2 linked regions of the Notamacropus eugenii genome follow. The protein of the gene in region 1 purifies or fractionates together with the protein of each later gene. This does not show direct contact. Links are inferred from orthologs where the notes say so. Each region holds a gene or a part of one and is shown in the gene's direction. Other genes may lie near its edges.

What was found. The genes of interacting proteins can lie anywhere in the genome.
Region 2: the proteins of DNAJA2 (region 1) and LLGL1 purify together in Homo sapiens (co-immunoprecipitation; 3 studies listed by BioGRID and IntAct, with this or other methods). This does not show direct contact. The link is inferred for Notamacropus eugenii from reciprocal best matches to the Homo sapiens genes DNAJA2 and LLGL1.

What each region holds. Positions count from the first base shown.
Region 1 is NC_092872.1:461,624,298-461,632,007, reverse strand, and holds the start of DNAJA2 (dnaJ homolog subfamily A member 2), read left to right. Parts: upstream 1-4,697; 5' UTR 4,698-4,885; coding exon 4,886-4,963; intron 4,964-6,797; coding exon 6,798-6,857; intron 6,858-7,710. UniProt on the Homo sapiens protein: Co-chaperone of Hsc70. Stimulates ATP hydrolysis and the folding of unfolded proteins mediated by HSPA1A/B (in vitro).
Region 2 is NC_092874.1:335,641,929-335,648,971, forward strand, and holds the start of LLGL1 (lethal(2) giant larvae protein homolog 1), read left to right. Parts: upstream 1-4,040; 5' UTR 4,041-4,285; coding exon 4,286-4,366; intron 4,367-7,043. UniProt on the Homo sapiens protein: Cortical cytoskeleton protein found in a complex involved in maintaining cell polarity and epithelial integrity. Involved in the regulation of mitotic spindle orientation, proliferation, differentiation and tissue organization of neuroepithelial cells.

The sequences.
Region 1 (7,710 bases):
AGTTGAAGTCATAACTGAAGTAATGTCTTCATTACTGTAACCTAGAAACTGTAATTCAAAGCTGCTACTCTTACATTTTCAAGGTATCTTTCTCTAAATCAAAAGTGAAGGCTAATAACTTAAATCTCAGATGACAAAAACTTACCTTGATAAATATTAACTCTAGATAGTTGTTTCCTGAGAGCCTAATAAATAAACTCCAATGGTTCCCTATTTCCTTTAAGATCTGGTTATCTTTTAAAGCAATTTACAACCTGGCCCCAATATACGTTTCCAACTCTATGACTTCCACTTTCCCACTTTACAATCCAGTCAAACTGGCCTTCTTGATGTTCCTCCCATAATATTCTATTTCTAGTGTCTGTGTTTGTGCTGCATAGCCCCCACACCTGGAATGCAGTCCCTCCTCACCTTTACCTCCTTAAAGACTCGGTTCAAGCAATACCTATATGAAACTTTTTTTGATCCCCTTCTTCCCCACTCCCTTCGCCCTTCCATCACCATGTCAAGTGCCCTCTCCTAAAAAACTTACTTTATATGTATTTTGTGTATGCTACCTTAAGTGCATGTCTCTCCTGATAGGCTATCAGTGCCTTGAAAATAGGGTCTGTCCATTTTGGTCTTTGTATCTATCCTCAGAGCCTAAGGGCAGCTAATTGGGAGAACAGGTAGAGTGCTGAGCTTACAGTCAGGAAAACTGAGTTCAAATCTTACCTTAGACATTTACTAGCTGTGTGACCCTGGTCAAGTTGCTTGACCCTGTTTTCCTCCATTTCCTCAACTGTAAAACGAACTGAAAAAGGAAATGACAAGCCACTCCAGTATCTTTGCTGAAAAAACCCCCAACAGAATCATGCAGAGTGGAACATGACTGAAATAACTGAAGAAACAAATCCTCAGAGCCCAGCACAGTGCCTAGTACATATTGGGTGTTAATGGTTGATTATAAATAATTCTACCATCAGGATTCTTCAAAGTTAACTCCTTCTAGTTGGAAAGGCTGTTTGGTATTCAAAGACCTTCCTATCGGACCCCTCCTATCTTTATTATCTTCTAATACCTTACTCCCTGACCCATGCCTGCCCCAGGTATATACTTTGACTTCCTGGCTGTTCCACAAACTGGACACTCCATCTCTCAGCACCAGGCATATTCTCTGACTGTTCCCCATGCCTGAAATGCTCTCCCTCCTCCACTCTGACAACTAACCTCTCCGTCTTCTTATAATAAGAAGCCTTTCCCAACCTTTCTTAATTCAAGTGCCTTCCCTCTCTCTTAATTATTTCCTATTAGTCTTCTCTATAGCTTGCTTTATATTTGTTTGCATGTTGATTCCCTATTTAGACTATAAGCTTGAGGACAGGGACTCTCTTTTGACTCTTTGTATACCCACAGTACATATTGTTGTTCAGTCGTTTTCAGTTGCATTCAACTCTTTGTGACCCCATTTGGGGTTTTCTTGGCAAAGACACTGGAATGGTTTGCCATTTCCTTCTCCAAACAGGGTTAAGTGACCTGCCCAGGGTCAAACACCTAGTAGGTGCCTGAGGTCAGATTTGAACTCAGAAACGTGTCTTCTATCCACTGTGCCACGTAGGTGCCCTCCTGGCACATAACAGGCTCAGTGACGGACTCCTTGAAAGGAAATGTGAACTTTTCTTTAGAATGAATCAAGTTATTTTAAAATCAAACTACTAAAGATAAACAACATTCAGACTTGGAGAATGATATAGGGAAAAACAATGTGATCTCTTAAAAGTTGAAAGATCAATTAACTCTTCCTAAGGCATTTTCAACTTTGTCATATCACCTTTGCAAACAAGAAGGCTGACATAAATTTTTCATAGACTTGATCTTAAATTTACAGACTGATATTTTCCTTCTTACTTCAAGATTCTAAGAATCTATGATTTTATGGGTATTCTTTCAATGAGTGAATCAGAACCAATATATTACAACCCTTCACACTTTAGTGTCTTAGTTTCTGTGGCCAGCACTTTCAGACAGGTTTTATTAAGATTAATAATATTTTACAGGAAAAAAATTCATTCTCAAACAGCTACCTAACATACTCTTCAAGTTGAGTATTGGTACAACAAAAAAGCTTCTTCATTTGTATTTAGAAAATTGGTTAGGATCATAAATCTAACACTTTAATAAGAGTTGATGAAGCATGCACTATTCATTGCCCTGAAAAGGGAAACAGATATGACATCTTCTATTAGAAATAAAAGAGTTTTTTAGAACTTAATGACTATAAGAAGTTAGTTTACAGTTTAATCTTTGGTCAAATTTAGCAACTGCAACATAAAGAAACTCAATCATTATCATTACCTACTATTTTCACATTCTTTCTCTGAATTGGCATTGACAAAAGTAACTTCTGCTGCAATGCCAGTTCAGTGTGGCCAAGAGAGAAAAGAAGTATATTCTTCTGTCTTTCCCATTCAGGGTAGAAAACACAGCCTTGGATCAATAGTGTTGCCATACAGCAGACAAAATTAGGACCTCTTCTATACTGCATTTTAAAAATCCTAATTGAAACAACTTATATATATATAAATATATAAATACATATACAAATTTATGAATATATAAAAATATAAAAGTTATATAAATAACTATATATTGCTTTAAGATTTGCAAAGCTCTACACATAAATTATTTCATTTGATAAATGTAAATAGCTACATACTAGCATAGTATTTAAAAAATACTAGCTTGGGGTTTTCTTGGCAGATGCTGGAATGGTGTGCCATTTCCTTCTCCTCATTTTACAGATAAGTAACTGAGGCAAGCAGGGTTAAGATAAATACAGACTTAGAAGATAAACATTAACAGCTAGATATTAGCATAGTACTTAAAAAATATTAGCTAATTAACTAGCTCTTGCGTAAATAAGTGGCTTTATCATAGGATTAGATAGGTAGGTAGGTAGGCAGGCAAAGGGAAAAAAAAGAGAAGAGAGAACACACACAGCTAGGCATCACAGTGGATAAAACCCCTGGACCTAGTCAGGAGAACCTGAGTTCAAATCTAGCTCCAGAGATTAGCTGTGTGATACTAGATAAACGCCTCCGTTTCCTTGTCCTTATCTCAGAATTGTTGCTGAAATGAAAAAAGCATTATTTCCAGTTCAGGACTAATTGGGAGCAGGTATATAGAATTCCTTTAAGCAACTAAATATTTCAACACCAAATGCTTCAGGACTAAACTTATATAAGCAAACATTTTGCAAATGCTGCAGTATCCTTCCTTTTCCTTCCCATTCCCATCCCCTAAATAAATACATAAAGAAATGAAGCAACAAAATAAACCTGGCAGAAATTTGAAATGACTCTGAACTTGAACTTTCAATCACTTGCAGTCCTCAGCTGCACTGTGACTCAGCGTTTTACAATGCCAGAAGCGAAGTGAGATAAAGGGCTTTCTTTTTAATGGCACCGGCTAAATCTGGAGCTTCAGAGCTTGCGGCACCTCAAGACAAAAGGTAGAGAGTGGAAAAGGTTGAGTGGTTACAGCACCAAGGGCTCTGACTTTCCTACGTGGTAGAAAACAGGCAGCATGGATCTAACTGAAGTGGAATGAGTGTCTTGTAATTCCAAGGGAGACAAAGCTGGCTTCAATTTCCTAAAACAAAGATTATTGGCATGTTATTCACAAATAACCAAGCAGCTTACAACGAAAACAAAGGGAAAAGCTACATTCCTCTAACCACCCTAAAGTTAGGAACATGTTTCAGAGTCAGGAAACCAACACTTGAAGAGTTGAGAAAGTCAATTTCCTCATCCTCTTTCTTAATGCAAGTAAAACGGGGTCACCATGGGGGGAGCGGGGGTGTCTTTCAAAAACTGAATAAAACTAAGTCCAATAGGAAAAAAAACCCAATCTGAAAGGTAGCGAGAAAGAGACGGAAGCTCGTTTTGCCCGAAGGTCCTGGGAACAAGCCATCCAGAGGCAGAGGGAGATGAAGGAGGGCAGAAGAACGGGAGGCGGTAGGTAAAGCTTAAGGGGGGGAGGGGGAAACAAAGGGTTCGGGGTGACAAAGGACTAGGGTAACCCCAACTAGATAATGAAACAGGGGCTTCCCGTAAGGCAGGAGGTGGGCCCAACAGTCATCAGGGTGGAGACGGGGCAGCGAATAAACAGAAGCAGTCCATGACAGCAGGAGGTCGGGCAGCACAAGGGGGGCATGGACTGGGGCAATCCGGAAGTCCGAGGTTCAAGTCCCGCCTTTCACACAAACTGTGGGACCATGGCAACGAACTCTCTGGGACCACGAGTAGTGGGAGAGCTGCCACGCATAAATCACAGGTCTGAAAGACGGTGAAGCTGAGGGGCATCCCTAAGACACCTTTCAGCCGTTAAAAAACACGGAAGGATTCTGTTGGGGGTCAAACCTTGCCCTTCTCTGAGCCTCAGTTTCCCTATCTGTAAGTCGAGAGATCAGGCCAGGACGCGTGACCGAGAGGATAACCAAGTTTGAGGGGAGCTCTAAAATCATTCTCAAGTTTTTCCCAGTATTTTCCTCGCACCACCAAGAAACAAACAAAACCCAGAAACCTGCCGGATACTTTTGACTTCTAGTCCAGAGGAGCCAGCGCCCCAACACGAGCCGGTGTCCCCTCCCCGCCCCCCGCAGCTGCCCCCTCCAACCGCCGGTCCCAACCACCTCCTGGAGGGGAGGGGCTCGACTGCGCCGCCGCGTCCGGCACCGAGGGGGCGGGGCTGGCTCCCGACGTTATACGTGAGGTCGGAGTTCAGCTCCTCCTCTTCCCTCCTCTACCTCCTCTCGCTTCTCCTTCTCCTCAGCCGTCGCCGCTGCCGCCTCTCCAGGGCCCGGGTTCGCCGCCGCTTTCTGCCGTCTCCCGCCCTCTGCCCTGCGATGGCGAACGTGGCTGATACGAAGCTCTACGACATCCTCGGGGTCCCTCCAGGCGCCAGCGAGAACGAGCTGAAGAAGGTAGCGGCATGCGCGGGCGGTGCGGCGCGGGCCGGCCGGCCGGCGGGCGAGCGGGGCGGCGCGGGGCCAGGACCTGGGCTCGGGCCCAGGCGCGGGGCAGGTTTAGGGCTGGGCAGCCCTGGCGGGGAGAGCGGCCCGGCGGCTCGAGGGGCTGTACGGCGTCCGGAGCTTGAGACCGCGCCGGGGCCTGCCGGGGAAAGCGGAGCTGGCCTGGCTGGGGCCCACATGCGGCGCCCCGGCTTCGGCCTCCAGGCGGCTCCCTTCCTCCTCCGGCTTCCTGCCGCCGCCGCCGCACCGGTGCCTCCCCCCACCCCCGCCCCCCCGGATCCTGCTCATCCCACTGACCTTGGGAGCAGCGATGCCGGGCGGAAATGGAGGCCGGGGCTCCCCGGGGAGCTGTCCTGGGGCCTCCCGCTCGGTTTTTCAGGCAGTACCTTCCCCTAAACGAGCAACACCCCCGAGGCCCGGGCACTGAAACCTCCGCCCTGTGGCCGCCCCGAGAGCCGCCCCACCTCCCTCGCATCCCGGTGCCGAGGTCACCACCCCTGGAAGAACAGGTTGAACCCACGCACCTGGGTGCATCCTCGGCCCGGCCTTTACCCCCTCCTTACTAAAGCAGCCACCGATAAAAGGGGTGTGTGCCTGGGACGAGGGAGGACGCTGGTTGGGAAAGGATGTTTCCCCTGTGTCATCAGCTAAAAGCTTCTCCTCCGCCGGGCCCTCTCTGCTCGTGGTCCCAAGGGCTGCGGACTAAGGGGGAAAGGCTGCTGGCATCACCTGGCCCCCGGGCTCCTGCTGACATTGGAGCAGCTGGGAATGAGGCGAGAACTGCTTCCGTGGGCGATGTTGCTGCTCCGTAACATGCAGTGCCTCATCGGCATGGGTGATTAAACTGGGGTGTAGCACATGGGCACGTTGGGGTGCATTGTTGTGAAGCCTGGTCATTCCAATTGTCGGTTCTGCTGGGATGAAACTGGCACTTCGTCTGAAGTAAACACTTGAAGCCCTCGCCAAAAAAAAAAAAAAAAAATGGAAGACCTCGTTACTTGTAGTAGTGCAGTCTATCATCTGAGAATTTCAGAGCACTTTAGATATTTAATTAATCCTCACCGCATCCTTCAGATGTTGCATCAAAATTTGTGGGCTGGCTGAAATGGAATTGCCCTAGGCGATGAGGCTGAGGGACTGCTGGGAGTAAAATCTCTGAAAATGGGCTTCCTGTCACCTTACCGGAAGTGATTTACTATTATATAATTCATTTCTCTGCGTGAAGGCTTTAGTCATTAACCATATAGTTTAACATGTATTTCCAAATCTACCAAGCCAAAGATCACGACATGATTTAATTACCCAGAGCATTCCTGTATGAAAATGAGTTGTAAGCCTATAGTAGTTTCATTTTGCCCTGTTCCTGGTATGGGGGATGCGGAGGGGCATCTACTAGAGCTTATTTACGATCTGTTCTGAATATTCATTAACTATTAGTACTTATGTAGATTACTAGAAACTTTTTCCTCTTGTTTCTTTTCAATAAAGCACCCAGGAGTAAGTGAGAGACTGAAACAATGTTCCATTATATTTTCTTCTCTCTATTTGTATCTCAATTTTTAAAAACTCTTCAACCGTGATTGTAACTGGGGAATGTTATGGTTACATAAACAAATGATATTAAAACTGGAGTTAATTTAAATAAGTATCCTGGCGGAAAAAAGGTACGTATTTAGGATATAAGCTTAGTGAATTTTTTTACTTAAAATTCTTCCTCAAAAAAAGTGCAAGTTAAAATAGTTTTAACTGTTTTTGTGAGTAATTTTTTTGTTATCCTTTCTCTAAGGCTTATAGAAAGTTGGCCAAGGAATACCATCCTGATAAGAATCCAAATGCAGGGGACAAAGTAAGTTTTAGATATTTGAGATTTTGTGTTTAGCTTTCAAACTTAGATAGTTGTATTCCTTTTGAAAATAAATATTTTCTTATTTTAACAAAGTCAGGTCTCGTTGGCTTAAAGAATAATGTAAGTTGTATAGTAAAAACATTTTTAAAAGAGCTGAAGGAGATAAGACTAGAAATAATTAATCTGAAAAACTGCAGCTTCTATTTCTTTAGACTCTAAATCTGTTTGTAGGCTACTGTGTACATAAATGACTCATGGGGTTTCCCTTCATCGTCATCATAAAGTAAATGTCCCTGTCATTAAGGGCATTTACAGTCTATTTGGGGAGATGCAGAATAATAGCAAATATAAAATAATGCATAAATACATAAGAATTGCAAGTAAAGGGACCTATTAGGTCTGAGTTGTGGTGAAGGTGATTACTGAAGGAAAGGAATTATGAAGTTTTCCTTAAGTAATTCAGTGGATAGGGAAAGACAGTTCCTAAAATGAAAAGCAACACAAACTGAAGTATAGAAAGAGATATCATAGTGTAATGGAAAGACTTGGATGTCTTACCTCTAGTGAGTCACTTAAGTTTTCTGGGCCTTAGTTTCCTCATGTAAGATAACAGGCTTGGATCAAATGACTTAGATTATTTCCACTTCTGCGTGTTATAAATTTTGATTAACAATATTTGGATACACTGCAGCAGGTTTTTAATTAGAGATTGATTGCTATACCGCCTCTGTCAGTGTGTGGTTAGACAGACTTTAATGTTAGCCAAAGCAGAATATAATGGAGTCATTTTGCTGAAGTGGGAAAATACAAAACAAAATTTAAAAATTTTTAGCATTAATCCTTATTACCATGA
Region 2 (7,043 bases), on another chromosome or scaffold:
GAGTCAGTAATTCAGTCAGTAAACATAGAGGGAGTTATGCTTCATTATTTTCTCGACAATGATATTATTAATTTTTTTACCTGATTATTTCCTTTTCACTTACATCGTTGTAGCTGTGAATACTGTTCTTTGGTTCTTATAGCTTTCCATATTACTTCATACAAATATTCCCACATTTTTCTGAATTCCTCATATTTATCGTTCTTTCTGCCTGACAATATTCCATTACAATTTCTATGCCACAATTTGTTCACTCATTCCTCCATCAATTGGAGCTATAGATGAGATTGAAACAAAACAAAAACACATCTCTTTTTACAATCCCTACAATGGTCCCATTAAGACCGCATCAAAATCATCACTAAGGTGTGTGTGTTTCAGGGATGGGTACCTTTCTCTACCTCTAATCAGTGGGTAACAGCACTGATCACTGTTCAACAATCCTTCCGCCAAGAAAAAACAAAAGTAGTACACACACACACCACACACACACACACACACACACACACACACACTTTAGCATAGGGACCTCCTCAGACCCAGGTAGAACATATTTCTTTTTTTTTTTTTAATTAAATTATTTTATTTGTTTTCAGTTTTTGATAATCACTTCCATATATCTTAGATTTTTTTTCTCTCCCTTCCCCTCTTTCTCCCCTCCCTCCCCACTCACTCTCTCCCTGAGAAGGCATACAATCTTATATAGGTTCTACATATACATTCCTATTAAATGCATGTTGCATAGAAGAATTAAAATGAATGGGAGAAACCATAAAACAAAACAAAACATAATACAAAAGAAAATGGACTGCTTCTGTCTGCAATCCAATTCCATAGTTCCTTCTCTGGATGTGGAAGGCATTTTGGCTCAAGAGTCCACTGGAAATTTTTTAAGTCCTTGCATTGCAATGAAGTACTAAGTCTACCAGAAAAATGCATGTATGTATATAAAATGTATGCATGTTTTTGTAGCCCTTTGGACATAGTTCAAAATTGCTCTCCAGAATAGCTGGATCAGCTCACAGCTCCACCAACAATGAATTAGTGTGCCAACTCTCCCGCATCTTCTCCAACATTTATCATCTTCCTGTTTTGTCATGTTAGCCAATCTGATAGGTGTGATGTGGAATCTCAGAGTTGTATTGATTTGCATCTCTCTAAATCAATAGAGCATTTTTTCATATGACTATAGCTAGCTTTAATTTCTTCTTCTGAAAACTGCCTGTTCATATCCTTTGACCATTTATCAATTGGGGAATGACTTGTATTCTTGTATATTTGACTCAGTTCTCTATATATTTTAGAAATGAGGCTTTTATCACAGATACTAGCTGCAAAAATTCTTTCCCAGTTTTCTGCTTCCCTCCTAATCTTGGTTGCATTGAGTTTGTTTGTGCAAAAACTTTCAATTTAATGTAATCAAAATTATCCATTTTGCATTTCATAATGTTCTCTATCTCTTGTTTGGTCATAAATTTCTCCATTGTCCATAAATCGGACAAATATGCTATTCCTTGCTCCCCTAATTTGTTTATAGTATCAGTCTTTATACCTAGATCATGTATCCATTTGGACTTTATTCTTGTGTACAGTGTCCGGCATTGATCTATGCCCAGTTTCCGCCACACTGCTATCCAGTTTTTCCAGAAATTTTTGTCAAACAGTGAGTTCTCATCCCAGAAGCTGGGGTCCTTTGGTTTATCAAACAGTTGATTGCTATATTCATTAACTACTGTGTCTTGAGTACCTAACTGATTCTACTGGTCTGCCCCTCTGTTTCTTAGCCAGTACCAAGTGGTTTTGATGATTGCTGCTTTATAATACAATTTGAGATCTGGTAGGGCTAGGCCACCTTCCCTAGCAATTCTTTTCATTAGTTGCCTTGATATTCTGGACCTTTTGTTCTTCCAGATGAATTTTGATATTTTTTCTAGCTCTAGAAAATAATTATCTGGTAGTTTGATGGTTATGGCACTAAGTAAATTAATTTAGGTAGAATTGTCATTTTGATTATATTAGCTTGGCCTACCCACAAGCAACTGATGTTTTTCCACTTACCTAGATCTGACTTTATTCGTGGGAAGTGTTTTGTAATTATGTTCATATATTCCTTGGGTTTGTTTTGGCAGGCAGACCCCCAGATATTCTATAGTGTCTACTATAGCTTTAAATGGGATTTCCCTATCTCTTGCTGTTGGACTTCGTTAGTAATATATAGAAATGCAGATGACTTGTCTGGGTTTATTTTGTAACCTGCAACTTTGCCAAAGACGTTTATTATTTCAAGTAGTTTTTTACTTGATACTCTGGGATTCTCTAAATATATCATATCATCTGCAAAGAGTGATAACTTAGTTTCTTCTTTGCCTATTCTAATTCCTTCAATTTCTTTTTCTTCTCTTATTGCTTCAGCTAGCATTTCTAATACCATATTGAATAACAGTGGTGATAATGGACATCCTTGTTTCACCCTGATCTTATTGGAAATACATCTAGCTTAGGTAGAACACATTTCAAAATGTCCTTGGGGCCAGGAAGGGAAGAAACCCTATGCTGGGGGGGAAAGTCCAGTACTGGAAGCCTGGAGATATTCTAAGTAGCCCACGATCATTATGTGACCTTGGTGGGCAAATCACTTCATCTCTTGTGTCTCAGTTTCCTCATCCATTAAATAAGAGAGTTGGACTAGGTAACTGATAAGATCTCTTCTCATGATGACATTCTACATTGTCTTAACATGGATGGAATGTGGTATCCTGGCTTGTTCATTGGCCTGGGAACTGTCAGCTTTCACAACAATGCTGTGCTAACTAGGATAGTTCCTGCACTCCCAGGATCTTCCACACTAAAAGGAGATATGATCTTCATGTCCAATATCACATTATAGGATCACACGTTAAGTAAGAGCCGAAAGGGACCTTAGAGGTCAATCTGATACAACAAATGCGAAAACCAAAGCCCATAGAGGTCAGGTAGCTTCCCCAAGGTTGCACAGGTAGTAAACATAACAAGGATTGGAACCCAGGTCTTCGGTCTCCAAATCCAGCACTTTCCAATCCTAGCTCTGGCTTTGTCTCCTACTGCGTCACTTAACTTCCCCTGAACGTCTTTATCTATGAAATGGGCATAAACTTCTCCTGACCTACTGGGACTTTACTGTTCTTGTAAAGATCAAGTGGGAAAGTAGATATGAAAAGCGCTTTAAAAGTTCTTGAGCCCTAGGATGCAGGATATTGTTATAATTTCTCCTCAAAACAAGTTTTGAGTTGTTCTTGAGATTCTGATTCCGAATCGCTATCCCTTTTGTACGTATTCTTTATCCAACGGAGCCAGTCTTCACAATAGCCCTGCAAAGCGGGAAGGGCAGATATTATGATCATTTTATAAAAAGAAGTGACTCCCCTGGAGTCAAGAAAGCCGGCAGGTGCTGGATTCGAAACCCGATCTCCTAGTTCCACGTCTCCCCTCTGTGCCCCACTGCGGGCTAATGGGATATGAAAGCGAGCCTCCCACTCAGCCCAAGCTACCGCTCACAGCCCAGCACCTCGATGGCACAGTTCTCCCTACAGTCCTCCGCAAAGTTCAAGTCAAACATCTCAGTCCCTGGCCCAAAGCTGGGACATGGCGTGCCAATCCTCGGGCTGCGTTACAGGGAGAGGAAGGGGGAAAAGCAACAACGCACCAAGAGGGGGAGGAAAAAAAGAATCCCAAACCCCAATCACACACCAACAACAGGCAGGCCCTGCACTGGTGGAGAGGAAAAAAATCAAAGACTACCCCCCACCCAGCACGCACAAGCGATCCGCAGGCGCAGGCTTGGTCCCGGGAAAACTACATTTCCCAGCGAGGCGCGCGGCCTTGGCACATGCTCGCTAAGGAAAGCGGAGCCGGGCAAACCCCGGGCCTTTGCCTCTCTCATTGTCTGGCTTCGGGATGCGGGAGTTGCGGGGCGAGGGGAGGGGGGACGGAGGGCGTTGCAGGGAGTAGAGCTGATTGGTCGGGCGGCGCGTCCGTCACTCCCACCTTCTCTCTTTCTCCCCGCCTTCTCCTCCTAACCCCCACCTCCCCTCTTCCACTTCTGCTCCTCCTGCTCCTGCGGCCCCCTCCCCTCCGCCTCCGGCTTCCCCCGGGTTTTGCAGCGGGGCAGCGCCGCTGGATGCCCAGGCTCCCGCGAGGAGGGCGCGCTGGGGGCTTCTTGCATGGGGGGGTGCGGGGGGGAGAGGCCGGTGCTACATTGTTTCCGAACCCTTCCTCCTGAGACCCACGTCCGGCTCCGCAGCCCAAGATGATGAAGTTTCGGTTCAGGCGGCAGGGCAACGACCCCCAGAGAGAGAAGATCAAGCAGGATCTCTTTGCATTTAACAAGGTGAGGGGATGGACTGCGGGGGAAGGGGGGCGGCGGCCGGGCTGGAGCAAAAGCTGCCTGAGATGGGGGGCGTGCGGTGGGTTTGGGGAGGTGGGGGGAAGGAAGAGGAGAAGGAGGAAAGGAGCAGCCACGTTGGGCTAGGAGGGGCTGGGGCGTTGGGGGGACTGGACTTAGCTCTTCGCCCTAACGACGTCCCAGTCCGAGAAGTGAGAGCCCCGGGGCAGAAAGACCCTAACCCACCCACCCTTCGTGCCCCTCGGAAGTGGGTGTGGAAGCTAGGGCCCTTGGAAGCTGATTCACTCTCGGGCTGGGGATCCGAATGCACAATCTCAACTGCCCCGCTCCCCTCCCTCAGTCCAACTCTCTGACTCCCCATATTCCCCAACCGACAATTTCCCTCTGTGTAAGAGAGAGGGGAAGAACTCTCTGCCTTCTCTCCCCTTTTCTCAGCCTTCACTCCCTTTTCCTCCCTCTCCACCCTGCCGTGGAAGTGTCCCCGGAATGGGGGCACAGCATTTTAGGAGTGGAAGAATAGGTTTGTTTTGCTTTGCTAACTGATGCTGGGAGTTGCTGGACAGGGCAAAGGTAGTTGGGATGTTTGCGGCCGGTCGGTGGTAGAGAGAACTATGACTGGGGCAGCTTGGGAACCGAGGGATCACACAGACACAGGCAGAGAAAACAAACAGAACAGTACTGCTCCCTTCCCCCAATATACACACACGCACACGCACACATACACACTCACACACTCACACACTTTCTCTTTCTCTCGCTCTCTGTCTCTCTGTCTCTGTCTCTCTCTGTCTCTCTCTCTCTGTCTCTCTCTCTCTCTCTCTCTCTCTCTCTCTCTCTCTCTCTCTCTCTCTCTCTCTCTCTCTCTGTCTCTCTCTCTGTCTCTCTCTGTCTCTCTCTCTGTCTGTCTCTCTCTCTCTGTGACTTCAGACCTGCTTCTTTGTAAAGCAGTCCGATTACTCTACCCTCATCTCGTCTCCTCTCCTCACCCCCGAAACAAATCTTTTCACCTAGGGATGTGGTTCATCTTGTCCCCAGGGCAAGCGTCCTGCCACTCTTCCTTTGCAACCGTCTCAACTTTTCTTCTGGCCTCTCTGGGTAATTATAGGCACAGAGATGAGAAAGGAAACAGACCCTGAAACAAATGATTCTTGAGTATTAATTACCCCCTACCTGGGTCATTGGCTACTGCCCTTGGGGAGTAGGGACCCTGAATGTGTGGACCATTTAACAAGTTTCATTTGTGGTAAAATACTGAATACATAATTGATACACACAACAATCTGGTGAGAATAGGTATCCCCATTTTATTGAAATTGAAACTCTGAAAAAAGGTAATTTGACCAAAGGCATTCAGTTATTAAGTGGCAAAGCCAGGAGCCCAAGTCTCTCACTTCAGAGGCCTGTGATCTCTCTATTAAACAAGTGGTTTCTAGGCTTTTAAGTATGAGGAGTCTTTTTAACATCAAATATTGTGGACGCCTACAGGATAGTAGTTGTACTATTATCCCTGATTGAGAGAAATGCATGGTAACAAAGTTGCTGTGAATTCAGCAATACTTTTAAGTTTGTATCTTTTTTAATCACAGCATCTTATGTAAGTTTGCAAAATAGTAAAGAGTGTAAGAGACATTTGCTTATTTCTTTACTATTGTTTCTTATTTACAATGTTGATGCCTAATGAGATGGCTGGAGTTTCTTTGCAAAAACTCCCTGGCCCTCAGGTTGGGAACCACAACATTAGACTGTGAAGTACCTGTAACATATCAGATTTTTTTCTCCCTCTGATTTCTCTGTTTTTTTCCCAGCTAACACAATCTTGACATAGATCCCCTCTTGAAAGTAGCCCGGTTCTAAAGTCAGGGAGCCTGAAATCAAACCCTATTTTTGTCACTCACTGTGTGACCTTAGGCAAACCTCCCCAGCCTCAGTTTTCTCATCTGTAAGAGTGTCAGACTAGATGGGCTCTGAGGTCTTTTCTGACTCTGTGAGCCTGTATGGTTCTCCTGAATCACTGGCCCTTCTCTTTCTCTATTTGTGGTCTAGACATTGAACTTTTCTTTACCCATGACAGTTAAAATTAGGCTCCCTGTGCTTAAAATTCTTAAAGTCTAGTTGAGGGGAATAATAGATAGTTGAAAAGATGTGTGCCAAATGAAAGAGGTAGAATTTGAGGCAGGGATGGTCAGAGAAGGCCATGGAGGGGGTAAAATTTGCTTTGAGATTTGAATAATAAGGGATGCAATTCACCTAAGCAACTTTGAAGCAAGTTTCTTGGGCTGGTGGGAAGTGGGGCTGACTTGAGAAGGGATAACTCATTACCAGGAATATGATTTGTGCATAGGAGATGGGAGGGGAACAATCTTCTGGATGGGTAAACCAGTCCCTGGTTAGTCTCAGCTTTGCTACCTCTTTGTCACTTTGGGGCATTCCATTTCCCCTCAGTGGACTCAGTCTCTTCATCTGCTGGAGTAGGCCAATTCTTCCTAGACAGGAGATTCTAATATCCTGTGGTTGGGAAGCCTTGGAACTCCCAGTGGCAGACAGATTGTGTACAGTGTGTGTGTGTGTTGTGTATGTAGGAATCTTATGCCTTTCTGTGGGAAGAATTATAAAAGGTTGCAAGGATTATAAAAAGTGTGTGTGTGTGTGTGTGTGTGTGTGT